Caenorhabditis elegans: one gene and its partner. The protein of the gene in region 1 interacts with the protein of each later gene in a biochemical or structural test. Each region holds a gene or a part of one and is shown on either strand. Other genes may lie near its edges.

What was found. Proteins that work in one complex are often made in the same cells at the same time.
Region 2: the proteins of ufm-1 (region 1) and odr-8 are reported together in a solved structure, tested with the Caenorhabditis elegans proteins (one study listed by BioGRID).

The regions. Positions count from the first base shown.
Region 1 is NC_003281.10:7,854,834-7,860,012, forward strand, and holds ufm-1 (Ubiquitin-fold modifier 1), read left to right. Parts: upstream 1-4,145; 5' UTR 4,146-4,147; coding exon 4,148-4,236; intron 4,237-4,306; coding exon 4,307-4,502; 3' UTR 4,503-4,679; downstream 4,680-5,179. Other genes in the region: rpl-35 (Large ribosomal subunit protein uL29), read left to right, coding at 317-547, 601-741; tag-307 (ApaG domain-containing protein), read right to left, coding at 1,007-1,127, 1,178-1,669, 1,856-2,008, 2,057-2,142, 2,189-2,273, 2,318-2,409; coq-5 (2-methoxy-6-polyprenyl-1,4-benzoquinol methylase, mitochondrial), read right to left, coding at 2,591-3,016, 3,063-3,325, 3,455-3,623; tomm-7 (Mitochondrial import receptor subunit TOM7 homolog), read left to right, coding at 4,780-4,917, 5,177-5,179. UniProt on the Caenorhabditis elegans protein: Ubiquitin-like modifier which can be covalently attached via an isopeptide bond to substrate proteins as a monomer or a lysine-linked polymer.
Region 2 is NC_003282.8:6,577,773-6,584,914, reverse strand, and holds odr-8 (Ufm1-specific protease), read left to right. Parts: upstream 1-2,210; 5' UTR 2,211-2,254; coding exon 2,255-2,368; intron 2,369-2,524; coding exon 2,525-2,699; intron 2,700-2,743; coding exon 2,744-2,925; intron 2,926-2,976; coding exon 2,977-3,171; intron 3,172-3,216; coding exon 3,217-3,313; intron 3,314-3,359; coding exon 3,360-3,517; intron 3,518-3,564; coding exon 3,565-3,664; intron 3,665-3,711; coding exon 3,712-3,861; intron 3,862-4,136; coding exon 4,137-4,318; intron 4,319-4,363; coding exon 4,364-4,460; intron 4,461-4,505; coding exon 4,506-4,674; intron 4,675-4,724; coding exon 4,725-4,875; 3' UTR 4,876-5,079; downstream 5,080-7,142. Other genes in the region: F38A5.2 (TraB domain-containing protein), read left to right, coding at 1-6, 62-360, 416-541, 586-723, 769-1,083, 1,132-1,241, 1,770-1,770; C43G2.3 (uncharacterized protein), read right to left, coding at 5,555-5,702, 5,750-5,958, 6,306-6,377, 6,426-6,626, 6,674-6,676. UniProt on the Caenorhabditis elegans protein: Thiol protease which recognizes and hydrolyzes the peptide bond at the C-terminal Gly of ufm-1, a ubiquitin-like modifier protein bound to a number of target proteins.

The DNA of each region.
Region 1 (5,179 bases):
CGAATATTTTTATACCAAACAATTTTTATTCCAAAAAATGATCGATATTAATGTAAAAAACAGAAAATTCGGTTCACGGAACACCATTTTTAATTTAGGCCAAAAATCGAATTTTTCCGTTTCGTTATTATTTTTGTTGATTTAACGTTGCTTCTCGTTTAACGATCAAAATTCTATTTAACAAGTCTGTCGAAAATATTTCCGCTCTAATATATTTCAAAATAGATTTTTTCCATTCTCTTGTTTTCTTAATATTTTTTTGCAAATAATTTATAATTTTTAAGCAATCTCATTATTCAGGGTTACCACAGTAGTCATGACCAAGCTGAAGTGCAAGTCTCTCCGCGGCGAGAAGAAGGATGCCCTTCAAAAGAAACTCGACGAGCAAAAGACCGAGCTTGCCACTCTCCGTGTCTCGAAGGTCACTGGAGGAGCTGCCTCTAAGCTCTCCAAGATTCGCGTTGTCCGCAAGAACATCGCCAGACTCTTGACTGTCATCAACCAGACCCAAAAGCAAGAGCTCCGCAAGTTCTACGCTGACCACAAGGTTCGTTAACCGTGTATTTAAAAAAAATATATAACTTGTGTAATTATTTTCAGTACAAGCCAATTGATCTTCGCCTCAAGAAGACCCGCGCCATCCGCAGAAGACTGACCGCTCACGAGCTTTCCCTCCGATCTGCCAAGCAACAGGCTAAGTCTCGCAATCAAGCCGTCAGAAAGTTCGCAGTCAAGGCTTAAGTGGCTTGTATTCATTGTTATCCATTCATGGACATTGTTCTGGTTCAATTTCAATGAAAATTGTTGCTTATGTTAGTAATTTTGACATTCATACAAATCAAAAAAAGTTCATTGAAAGATTGTATCTAAGTTCACCTGGAAATACACAAAAATATTTAAAGTTCAAACAAGGGGTTAAGGCACCAGAAACACCAATAGTCATTTTTCCTACAACTGAAGAAAATTTTTGTACATTGCTGTCAGCGTTTAAACAATTATTTATCGATTAAGCTGCGTCCGGAGCTGCAATTGGAGTTTCATTGATTTCTTCCGTTGACTCGAAAACGATTGTAGGAATGTGAACGTCGAAAAGAACGCCGTTCTCCCTTTCCATTTTAAAACGACCCCTCAAAAATAGTGATGATTCGTGACAAAATAAACGAAACTTTTTTCTTACCACATGTGTCCGCCTTTCGTATGTTTCAGTTCAAGTGTACTGCTGAATTGGAAAGCCGGAGTTGCTGCGTTCAATTCAGGTTGCTTTCCCACGACACCATGTCCATGCATTTGATTCATATTGTTTAATGAATATACCTTGAGTGTTCTTTCTCTTAAAATCACCCCGTTTTCTGGTTTTTTATTCTCGATCCTGATGACATATCTCCACATATGCTGCTGCTGTCCACCAACCATATTGGCACCAAGATAGAAAGTCATCACAGTTACTTCTATGTTTTCAGTTCTTTCCCGATAGACGTCACGAGGTCCAAGCCATGATCTGTTTGGATTTGTGTATCTTTCAACAAGTTCTGGCTTCATTGCAATATCATAAAGTCCAATGCCATCGTGAGATGCGTTGAAAATGTGGTCGAAGAGATCGTGGTCAAAATTGACACCTCCGGATGGAGTAAATGGGATAATATCTTCATGTGAGACACAGTCCATACCACTGAAAATAATTTTTGAATTGAAGGAGTTTTTATTATGAAAAAATTTCTTTAAAATATACGAAATCATATTTTTATTTTGATTTTTTAGAAAACTGATTTTGTCGCTTTCAAAAAAGGTGTTGGTGTTGAGGATTGTTCCAATCAATAATATTTTTTAATTATCTCATTTACAAAAATCACCGTACTTGATTAGAGTCAACATTTTTTGTCCGTGTCTTTTATTCTCCATTGGTGCATCTACCAAATACGATGTAATATCTACTGGGAATCCCATATGACTCCAGTCATAGCGATGAATGAGAACTTGGTAGAAATCACGCGTAAGAAGATGCTTTTCGCTAAAAAAAAATTTAAAATCAGAATAGCAGAAATTTATTGCTACTTACTTTTGTTGACTTCTTTTTTCATGTAATCTACATGGAAAAGAGCAAACAACGACTCCTTTGTAAGCAAATGTTTTGTGAATGAAAATCTGCAATTTAATATTTTTGCAAAATAACTGGATTGAGTCAACCAACTTGTCCAGCTTCAAATGTTGGTTTATTAGTTGATGGCAAGAGAAGTCCAATTTCTTTCAATATTGGCGTTGTGGCGCTTCTGAATCTTAAAAATGATGATTATCGAGTCTGAAATCATCTATAAATTACCTTGACAGTAAGACTTTCCCAGCGGAAAAGTTTCTTACACTGTGCTGAATAGCACTTCGAAGTTTCATATCTGAAATTGTTGGAATAAACATGAATTTTTTCAGATTTTTTGAGTAACAACGGGAATAAACCACGGAATCATAGATGTCAGGAAATACAAATATAACAACTTTAATTAAATTTATGCAAAAATTCTACACGAAAAATACTGAATATCACCTAGAAAAATGGAATTAAATGAAATTTTAAAAAGAACAAACAAACAGGAATAAATTATTTTCTTGGTTTCATCCCCTTATGAATCGAGCACACTCCAAATGTCAAATTCTCGTATCGAACATTACTAAAGCCTTCTTCTCTAATTATTCTTGCAAACTCGTCTTGATTCGGGAATTTACGAATACTCTCAACCAAATATTGATAACTGGCACGATCACTGGCAAGAATTTCTCCAAGAACCGGGATCACATTGAAGGAGTATGCATCGTAAATTGGTTTCAGTGCAGAATTCACTTCTGAGAACTCCAAAATAGCAAGTTGACCTCCAGGTTTGAGTACACGAAAAGCTTCACGAACAACCTTTTCAGGGTGTGTACAATTTCTGATTCCGAAGGACATTGTGAACAGATCGTAAGTGTTCGACTCAAATGGCATTTGCTCGGCGTTAGCGCATACCCATTCCGCGCGAGATGGTTGGATCTGAAGTAATACATTAAGGATATGGAATTTTTTCAAAAACAATTACATCTCTCTCCTTCTCCGCTCGTTTTTTTCCAACATCGAGCATTGGTTGATTAATATCGGAAACTGTCACTTTTGCGGTAGGCGAATGTCTGAGAATTCTGAAAGCGATATCCCCGGTTCCTCCTGCCATATCCAGACATTTCGCATTATACGGTACTTGCAGGCCACCAACATAATAGTCTTTCCATAATCGGTGAACTCCCATGCTCATTGCATCATTCATCAAATCGTACTTTTTCGCGACGTTTGCGAAGACGTGGTGAACTAAAAAAAGACATATAGTATCAGTAAATTATATAGATGTGTTGGAAAAGGGCTTATTTTATGTAGAGAACTTTGTGATTATTATTTGTGGCTATCAGCTTTTTTACGTTTCTGAATCGAACAGCTAACCTTTCTGCTCCTTCTCTGCCTCATCAACGTCAGTGAATCCAAAATGTGTTTTCTTTCCGGGCTCTGACCGTTTATTATCTGAATTGACTTGATTCACCGAAAACTGCCGGAAATTTCCAACGTTCGTAGGTTTTCTCATGCTTTTAAATAAGTTTGTTGCTCCTTTCATTCTGAAAATAAATGAGTTTTAATTCGGACAAAAGATGAGAAAATTTTGAGAACTTAATTGCGAAGTTGAATGATAAATTAAGTGATAAAAATCACGATACTCTGAAAGTTCTTGCAAGAAATATTCTACCGCATTTTCCCGTGGAGATTCCTAGGCCATCACTCCATAATGAATTTTGAAGAGACGTATTTCTCGTTTTTGTGGTATTTGTACACTAAATACTAGCGTTCGAACTACAATCTTCATTTAAATTTCACTCGAACTTTAACATATGAAAAATAATTGAATTATATTATAGTTCTTGATCACGCCATCACTGGCCTAGGTTCCGTCAAGTGGCCGAGTTTTGTAAGAGACACTTGGCATTTTTCCAGTTTTTCTCTCCTATTGTTTTTCAGTTTTTCAGGTTATTTTGTGCATTTCTGTTATGTCCTTTTCTTTATCAATTTGTTCGACTTTTTAAAAAACAATTTTTCAAACAAACTGGACGATTATTATTGATTTTATGCGAGAGATTTTCAGGAATGTCGGGTGGAACAGCAGCAACAACTGCCGGTTCCAAGGTGACCTTCAAAATCACTCTAACAAGTGATCCGAAGCTCCCATTCAAGGTGTAAGTTTTTATATTTAAATTTTCGGTTTACTTTTGATTTGGAGTTTTGCGTCATGCATTAATTTTTCAGCCTCTCCGTGCCGGAAAGTACCCCATTCACCGCCGTTCTCAAGTTTGCCGCTGAAGAATTCAAGGTCCCTGCGGCTACATCAGCAATCATTACGAACGACGGAGTTGGCGTCAATCCAGCTCAACCTGCCGGAAACATTTTTTTGAAGCACGGAAGTGAACTTCGTCTGATTCCACGTGATCGCGTCGGCCATTGAGCATAAGCCAATTGTTGTCTACATTCCTGTATTATGACATAATTATTTTTACAAAATGTGATGTCTCTGTGCATTTCTATCCTAAACTCGCTAAGTCAGATTTGAATATCTAAATTCTTCTAAATATTAATTTATTGAAATTCCCCTTTCCAAAGTACGCTATGAAGCTTTTTTCTCAAACTTGTTCAATCAATTTATCAATACTGGTTGCTCTTCCGCATTTTATCTTACTTTTTTAAAACTACTTTACTTTTAGTCTTATATTATTTTATTTAAGATGAAGCTCTCCCCAGCTACCAAGTCTTTCATCGGTAAGACAGTCGATATTTCCACATTTGCAATCCAATGGGGATTCGTGCCGTTTGTGGTCTACCTTGGATTTAAGAAAGGCGCTGAGCCAATGCCAAATGGACAGGTAAAAACTAGAAAAAGAAACATTTAGTTTTAAAATCACGTCTCCGAGAGAGCGTAATAAATAAAAAATGCGTCCCATAATACACAAGATTCAAACATTTATATAGATACCGCATTTTCTTTACAAGTTTCTCGTTGTGTAAATAGAACAATTGCATGCGAGACGCTGCCAATTATTTTTTAATTTATTTGTCAAAAGTTTAAGTTTTACCAAAAACACCTATGCTTTCAATTCAAAGATTTAAGAATTCATATTTCAGATC
Region 2 (7,142 bases), on another chromosome or scaffold:
ATACAGGTTTCTTAAAACTCCAGTTCGATGTAACACTGATATCTATATTCTATAATTACAGTAACAGTGCTCAAATGGCCTACAAATCTGGCGATTCCTCCACGCAACCCCGTGCTGAGCGATTCTGATGAAGAATGGAAGAAAGCGATTCTCGACTCCACCATTTATCTCATCGGTACAGCTCACTTTTCAAAAGAGTCGCAGGAAGACGTATCCAACACAATTCGTGCTGTGCAACCTGATTTTGTCATGCTTGAGCTGTGTCCATCACGAATTTCAATCATATCGATGGATGAGGCTCGGCTTTTGAGCGAAGCGAAAGATCTCAACTCTCAAAAAATTATTCAGACCATGAAACAAGTGAGTTCTCATATTTTTGTTGTTGTAATGTTGTAATATTTTCAACTTTTTTAAGAACGGCGCGATTCAAGGAATTCTGCACGTTCTTCTCCTGTCAATGTCAGCGCATGTAACACGTGAACTTTCCATGGCTCCCGGAGGAGAATTCCGTGCTGCTCATCGTGCAGCAGTTGCAACTGAGGTTTGAGTATTTAAAAAGTTTTATTTACAAAGTAACTATTTCAGAATTGTCGTGTAGTTCTCGGTGATCGTCCTATTCAAGTTACACTTCAACGTGCACTGGCTTCTCTCTCCATCTGGCAAAAAATTCGCTTCTTCTTCCACGTTGCATTTTCACATCGTGAGAAGATAACTGCAGAAGAGGTATTTAATTATTCAACCTTTTCCAAAAATATTCCAAAATTATAGGTGGAACGATGCAAGCAACGTGACCTTCTGGAGCAACTTCTCGCCGAGATGGCTGATGATTTCCCACAACTATCCCAAATCTTTGTGGAAGAGCGTGATGCCTACATGACGCATGCTTTGCATATGCTCGTACACCGGAACTCAGTCGAAAAACGTGCACAATGGCTTCGTGGAACAACTGGGCAACAATTTCAACCGTTGACAGTTGTTGCTGTCGTTGGAATCGGACATACTCCAGGAATTGTTAACAAATGGAATACAAATATTGATTTTGATCCACTTATGAACATCCCACCACCAAGCCTCGGAACAAAGGTAAATTAATCTGAAGTTATTTTAATTCTTTCATTTCTTTATTTCCAGGTTTTCTCCACTGGCGTCCGTATTGTTGTCTGGGGATCTTTGGGATATTTGGCTTATCGTGGAGGACGTGCTATCTTCAATCGTGTTAGCACATTCATAGAGTCTCGTTGGTAGGTTGGAAATTTTTGTTTAAAATTTAGTTTTGGGAATGTTGAAATTAAACGATGAAATTAAACGTGAATTTTGCAAAATCAAGGTCGCACAGAGAGAGGCAGCGCGTAGTTTTGCAAGCCTGTGGCATTGTTTTCCACCGTTTTTTGGTGGTTTTTTTTCGATAAGTTCTCAATTTTACTGGTTTCACTATTTTTTCTAATGAAAATGTTACCTAATTCAATTCTCATACGATTATGAGGAAATTTCATGTTAGATTTGTTGTAAAAACGAAGTATTCTCACAATCTTATGGGAATTGAATTAGATACATAATATTTTTATTCAAAAAAAAAGAAGGAAAAACCGTACCACAGGGATGAGAAATTACGCGAATTACCAACTCCCCATTCAAAGAATGAAATAATAGCAAACCTAATCTCATTTTCGTGCTTCTCCCGTCTTCTCTCGTTATTAGCTTTTCTGGTATCACCTGCTCCGCACAAGTTACCCATGACAACCAACCCACTAACTCGTATATCTTTTCAGAACAACTCATTGATTGAAGCGGGCACAACAGCATAGCAGCCGTCTACATTCGATCTACAGGCGTTTTCATCGTTATTTTGTTCTTTCCTAAAATGTTTATGTCTAATTATTGGACTTTTAATCGCTTTTTCTTGTAATGTGATACGATTTCTAGGGTGTAGATAGGTTGAGAATTGAAACAAAATTTTTCTTCTCCCATTTTTTTCTAAACTATCCTTTTCTGTTAAATGCCCAAACAAATTGCAATTTATTTATTAGTCCCACCCGCTTCTTCCGTTTATCGATTGATTTATTCTCGTTTTCTTTGTAAAATACACAAATAATTTAAATTATTCATCTCTCTATTGCAAAATCCCCTTCTACAAGTCCCCATATTCAGCTCGCTGGTCGTATAAATGACACATTTCAATATTATTCTCTCGTGATTCGTGGTAATATCCATAAACTATTATTATCTTTTGAAAGGTGATTGGAAGAGAAGAAGAATGACGAATTCTCAAACTGTCTCACTAATTGGACCAACTCAGATGGCTCCACAATCAACACCTCCACCTCCTGTGAATGAATTGTGGTTTATTGATGCGCAGGCAATGTTTCAGGTAATTTATGTGGAAATGAGCTATGAAAGTTTTAAGAAGTGCTGAAATTATTCGATTTTCTATACTAGTTGAAAAACGGAAAAAAACGAAATAAAATCTGAAAACACTCCAAAATCAGTCTTGCGAGATAAAAGATTTCACACGAAATATTTTAAGAATTACGCCAACCTCCGCTCGTTCTCCAAATCCAATGCCAACGAAATTAATACGACAATTGGCGGATTCGTTTTCGGACGTAAAGCTCGGAAACAGGTTATCCATGTGCTATTCGCCTACGCTGAAGATCTGACTGAATCGAACAGACAATTCTTGGAGAGCTCTCTGTCTGCTGGTAATTAATGGAATAATATTATTAAAAACTGAGATTTAATTCAGATATTGAACTGGTTGGAAACTTGAATATTGATGGACAATCACAGATTCTTCCTGGCGGGCAGTTCACCCTTCAGCTGACATCTCGAATGCTTGAAAATCGAAGTATCAGCGAATTTTTGGATATGAATGTGATGTTCAACAATGAACATGTTCTTATGGAAGGAGCTAGTTGTGTCAGCAGAGTACGTTCCCATAAGATCTTTAAATTATTGAATAAAAACGGTCCGTTTCAGGTTGGATACGAGTGGTCACTTCGAGCAGGTCGTGAACAAGAAGATGTCAAATCTGCTGCCGAACGTCTTTCAATGGCTTCTTTTCGTTTCACATATCTAAACGCTGAACACGGGTTGGTGATCCGTGAGCAGAAGCCAGAAGCTGCTCAACAGAAGTATCTTGATAAATTCTCGAAAGGCGCTGTACCATATAAGGTTTGGAAATACTGTCTAAAATTAATATGATTGACGGAATTTCAGGATGTTATCGAATTCACTGCCATGCAATCTCTCACTAGGGATACATCTAATGATACGGAAGATCAAAAGCTGGTTCCAACAGTTAAGGTTACCAAGGGTAAAGAATTTTGTTATTTTATAAAGATATTAAATTCGTAATTTAGATAACAAACATTTCACTCGGCTCGTCACAATTGGTGAGGTAGTTTTCCCAGCGTTCTTTGGAGATTCTTCACTGGATTTGTACAAACGATCACGTGAGGCATTCAATAGAAGAGCTAACAATACAATGATGGTTACAGTCAATGGAATAAGAGCTGGGGTAAAAATTGAAATGTAATATTTTTTATATCGATTGATATCTTGCAGCGCGGAGTAACAACGACCACATCTGCAACTTATCTTCCACCTGGATGGGTTTCTCTACTTCATCTCCAACTTCCAACTAAATGGACGGACAATGAACAAAGTATTCATAGAAAGCGTTTCAACTTCTATAAAAATTCAATTTTCTAGGAAATTACCGTATTCGTCTTCACAAGTTGTTCAACTTGCCATCATCTAAGCCAGTTCTTCGATTGTCTCAAGCGTTGGCTCTCCACTCAGAGAGTGCTCGTTTGACCAACAAGAAGCTCATTCGAGAGCCACATTTGTCTATAACAAATTGTATGTTTAAAAATGGAGTACCGAAATTTGAGGCATTGCTTTGTTGGACCCAAAACTACAGAATTTCGTAATGAGACATCAAATTTTGCCAACTTGACAGACCCGGAAATTGCGGAAGTTTGAATCATCAAGTTGTCAAAATTCGAGATTTTAGCTGAAAAAAAAACCGCATTAACTTTTTCTTTTGAGAAATTTTCAGAACGTTTCATAACGAAATGCGGAAGTTTTTGGCAATTTTGGGTCTAAACAAGCAAAGACTCAGAATTAATTTTCAGATCAACCAGTTGGTGAAATAACCACTGTAAATGGGCCGTACAATTATCATCATTACATGCAAGATGGAATTGATGATAGTGGATGGGGATGTGCATATCGTAGTTTCCAAACTATCTGGAGTTGGTTCATTTTGAATGGATATACTGATAAACCTGTGCCAAGTCATCGGGAAATTCAGCAGGTTGGCTTAAGCAGATTTCAATTGAAGTTGTTTTATTTGTTGCAGGCGCTTGTTGATATTCAAGACAAGCAAGCGAAGTTTGTTGGTTCACGACAGTGGATTGGTAGTACTGAAATCAGTTTTGTGCTCAATGAGCTACTCAGTAAGTAGTTGTTGAGTAATTGTATTTAATAGTTAAACATTTCAGAGTTAGAATGCCGTTTCATCGCTACCAACTCGGGCGCAGAAGTTGTCGAAAGAGTTCGTGAACTTGCTCGACATTTTGAAACATCTGGAACTCCTGTTATGATCGGAGGAAATATGCTTGCACATACTATTCTTGGAGTCGATTTCAATGATACCACTGGAGAGACTAAGTGAGTTTTTTTTTTTCAAATTGGAAGTATAGCAACACAATAATTTCCAGATTCCTCGTTCTTGATCCTCATTACACTGGCTCCGAAGATATCAAAACAATCACTTCAAAAGGATGGTGTGCATGGAAACCAGCGAGCTTCTGGAGCAAAGATCATTTCTACAATATGGTCCTTCCTCAACCGCCTAGCGATGCTATTTGAGTGACTTTGTATTACCATGCCTATGAAAAACAATGCATTATATATCTAAATTATTGCCAACCTTCTACCCATTTACATTGTAATTCCTATATTTTTTTAAACCTGGATTAGTCCTTTCTCGTCTGTGATTAATTTATTTCCTCTATAGAGAAATGCTTTCTATAGCCCAACCAACGTTTTTTGGGAATAAAAAATTGGTCAAAAGTTGAGTACAAGTCAAGCATGGCGATCTAGAAACATCGAATTACCAATTGTTGGTTCTTCAAAAATTTCATTTTATTAACCATACGCAACTTTTGCGGGTTGTTGAGCTAAAAGAACTGTGCCCGGTTTTCCTTAAATGCAAATGGTACGCGCCTTTAACCGAGGACTGTAATTCCAAACTTTCGTTACTGCGGAATTTTTCATTCGATTAAAAAAACACTTTCTATTTATTAATAGTTAAATTTTATCAAATCGGAAGAAATGTTATATTATGAAAAATAAATGAAAATTCGGCAGCAAAAAAATTTTGAAATTACAGTACTTTTTCAACGCTCGAAAATTTGTCGTATCGAGACCATGTAACGTATTCTTGCGCAAAAATTGAAAGGTATTGTTTTGAACGAAAATTGTACACAATTCAATCCAACGAATTCATTTTTCAGTCATTTTATTCACAAAACATAAATCCATCAAATTAAATTGCTTCGCCCAATTGATCCGGTTCGAAATACATTCGTGCCCACTGGGTTAGTTGTCCTCCGAGTGGTTCAGAAACATAGATACCATGATCAGCAATCAATTCTTTAGGCCACGATTTGAAGCAAGTTTGGAAATCTTGATTTCTAAAAAGCAAATTGTTAAGTATTTCAAACGGCTTCCTAACACTCACATATTCTTACTTAGGCCATTGACGATGATTTTCTCAATAGCAATATGCTGGCTGGGATCAAACTTTTGATCTTTCAAGTTATCCAAACTGATGAATCGACCCATTTGCATTGTATCCGCTTTGTAACGGTAATCAACTTGGCCTGACAACATTTGTTTTATGGCACGAACAGAGATCATCGTCACCGTTGAATCGACAGGTTGACTTGACTAAAGTTTTTGAATAACTACCCAGACGCGAAACTTTTCGATCTTTGTTCAAGAAGTACGGTATCCGGTCTTGAGACGACAAAGTTTTTTAAATACAAAAGTGTGCGAGCCTTTAAAGAGTACTGTAATGCCAAACAATTTGGTAAACGTGGGTTTTACTTCAGGTTTTTTAAATGAAAAATAATCTTATCTAAAAAAATATATTAAAAATCGTTGAAAATTCCGCTGGAACGAAAGTTTGAAATTACAGTACCCTCAAAAGGCGCACACCTTTTTTGCATTTAAGAAACAATGTTCGTGGTGAGACCGGGAACCGTATTTCTGACGCAAATAGCACAGAAATATACCTTGGTACTTTGACATTTAAACTTGTACGTGCCAGTTTCAAATTTTCCCTGACAAAGATGATTTCCAACAATCTGAGAATAGATGAACGTCAGTCAGAAGAGATAATCTCTCAACAAAACCTGTCTCAAGTTATTCCCATTTTTAGGTCCAAGTTCCAGAACACGAGCATGAGTGATTTCGAGATATTTTTGTCCATTTTCCAAGTATTTCTTACATTGCCCATTTGGATCAAACATTTTGATTTCCATCGTAACAGCTGCATTCAGAAATTGAGCGGCTGAAATGATCAAACCAAGAGCTAAAAGCACATGATTCGAGAACTGAAATTTGAAGATTTTGGAAAGAAAGAAATATTAATAAAGCTCACCATTTTGAATCACACTTCTTCAAGTGGACTTGATACGGGAATAAATTGATTTTTTGATCGAACGGATAAATCTCGGGAAATATTTTTTTGTACCATGTCTTTCACGTGTGAAATTTCAAAATTACTTTTGAGCAAATTTTCGTCAGCGATGTGTGCATCCTTATGAACCTATCGTGAATTAAAGGCAAATCCGGAGGGTGCCTCTTTCCTTCAGTCTTGTATAAATTGTTACACTCTTTTACTTCTATTCTTGCAAAAACTGCGTTGTAAAATTGTTCAACAATCCAGGAAAACTTTTACAGAATTGGTAAACAAAAGAAGTCAAAAATGATAGAAGTTGAGTGGATCGTATACTATTTTAAAATGTCAGTCGGTAAATATACAGAATTTAAATATATTCTTGTTGTTGATATTGGTACCTTGAGGAATACGCACTTGGAAAACTTTTTTCATGTATAAACACTTTAAT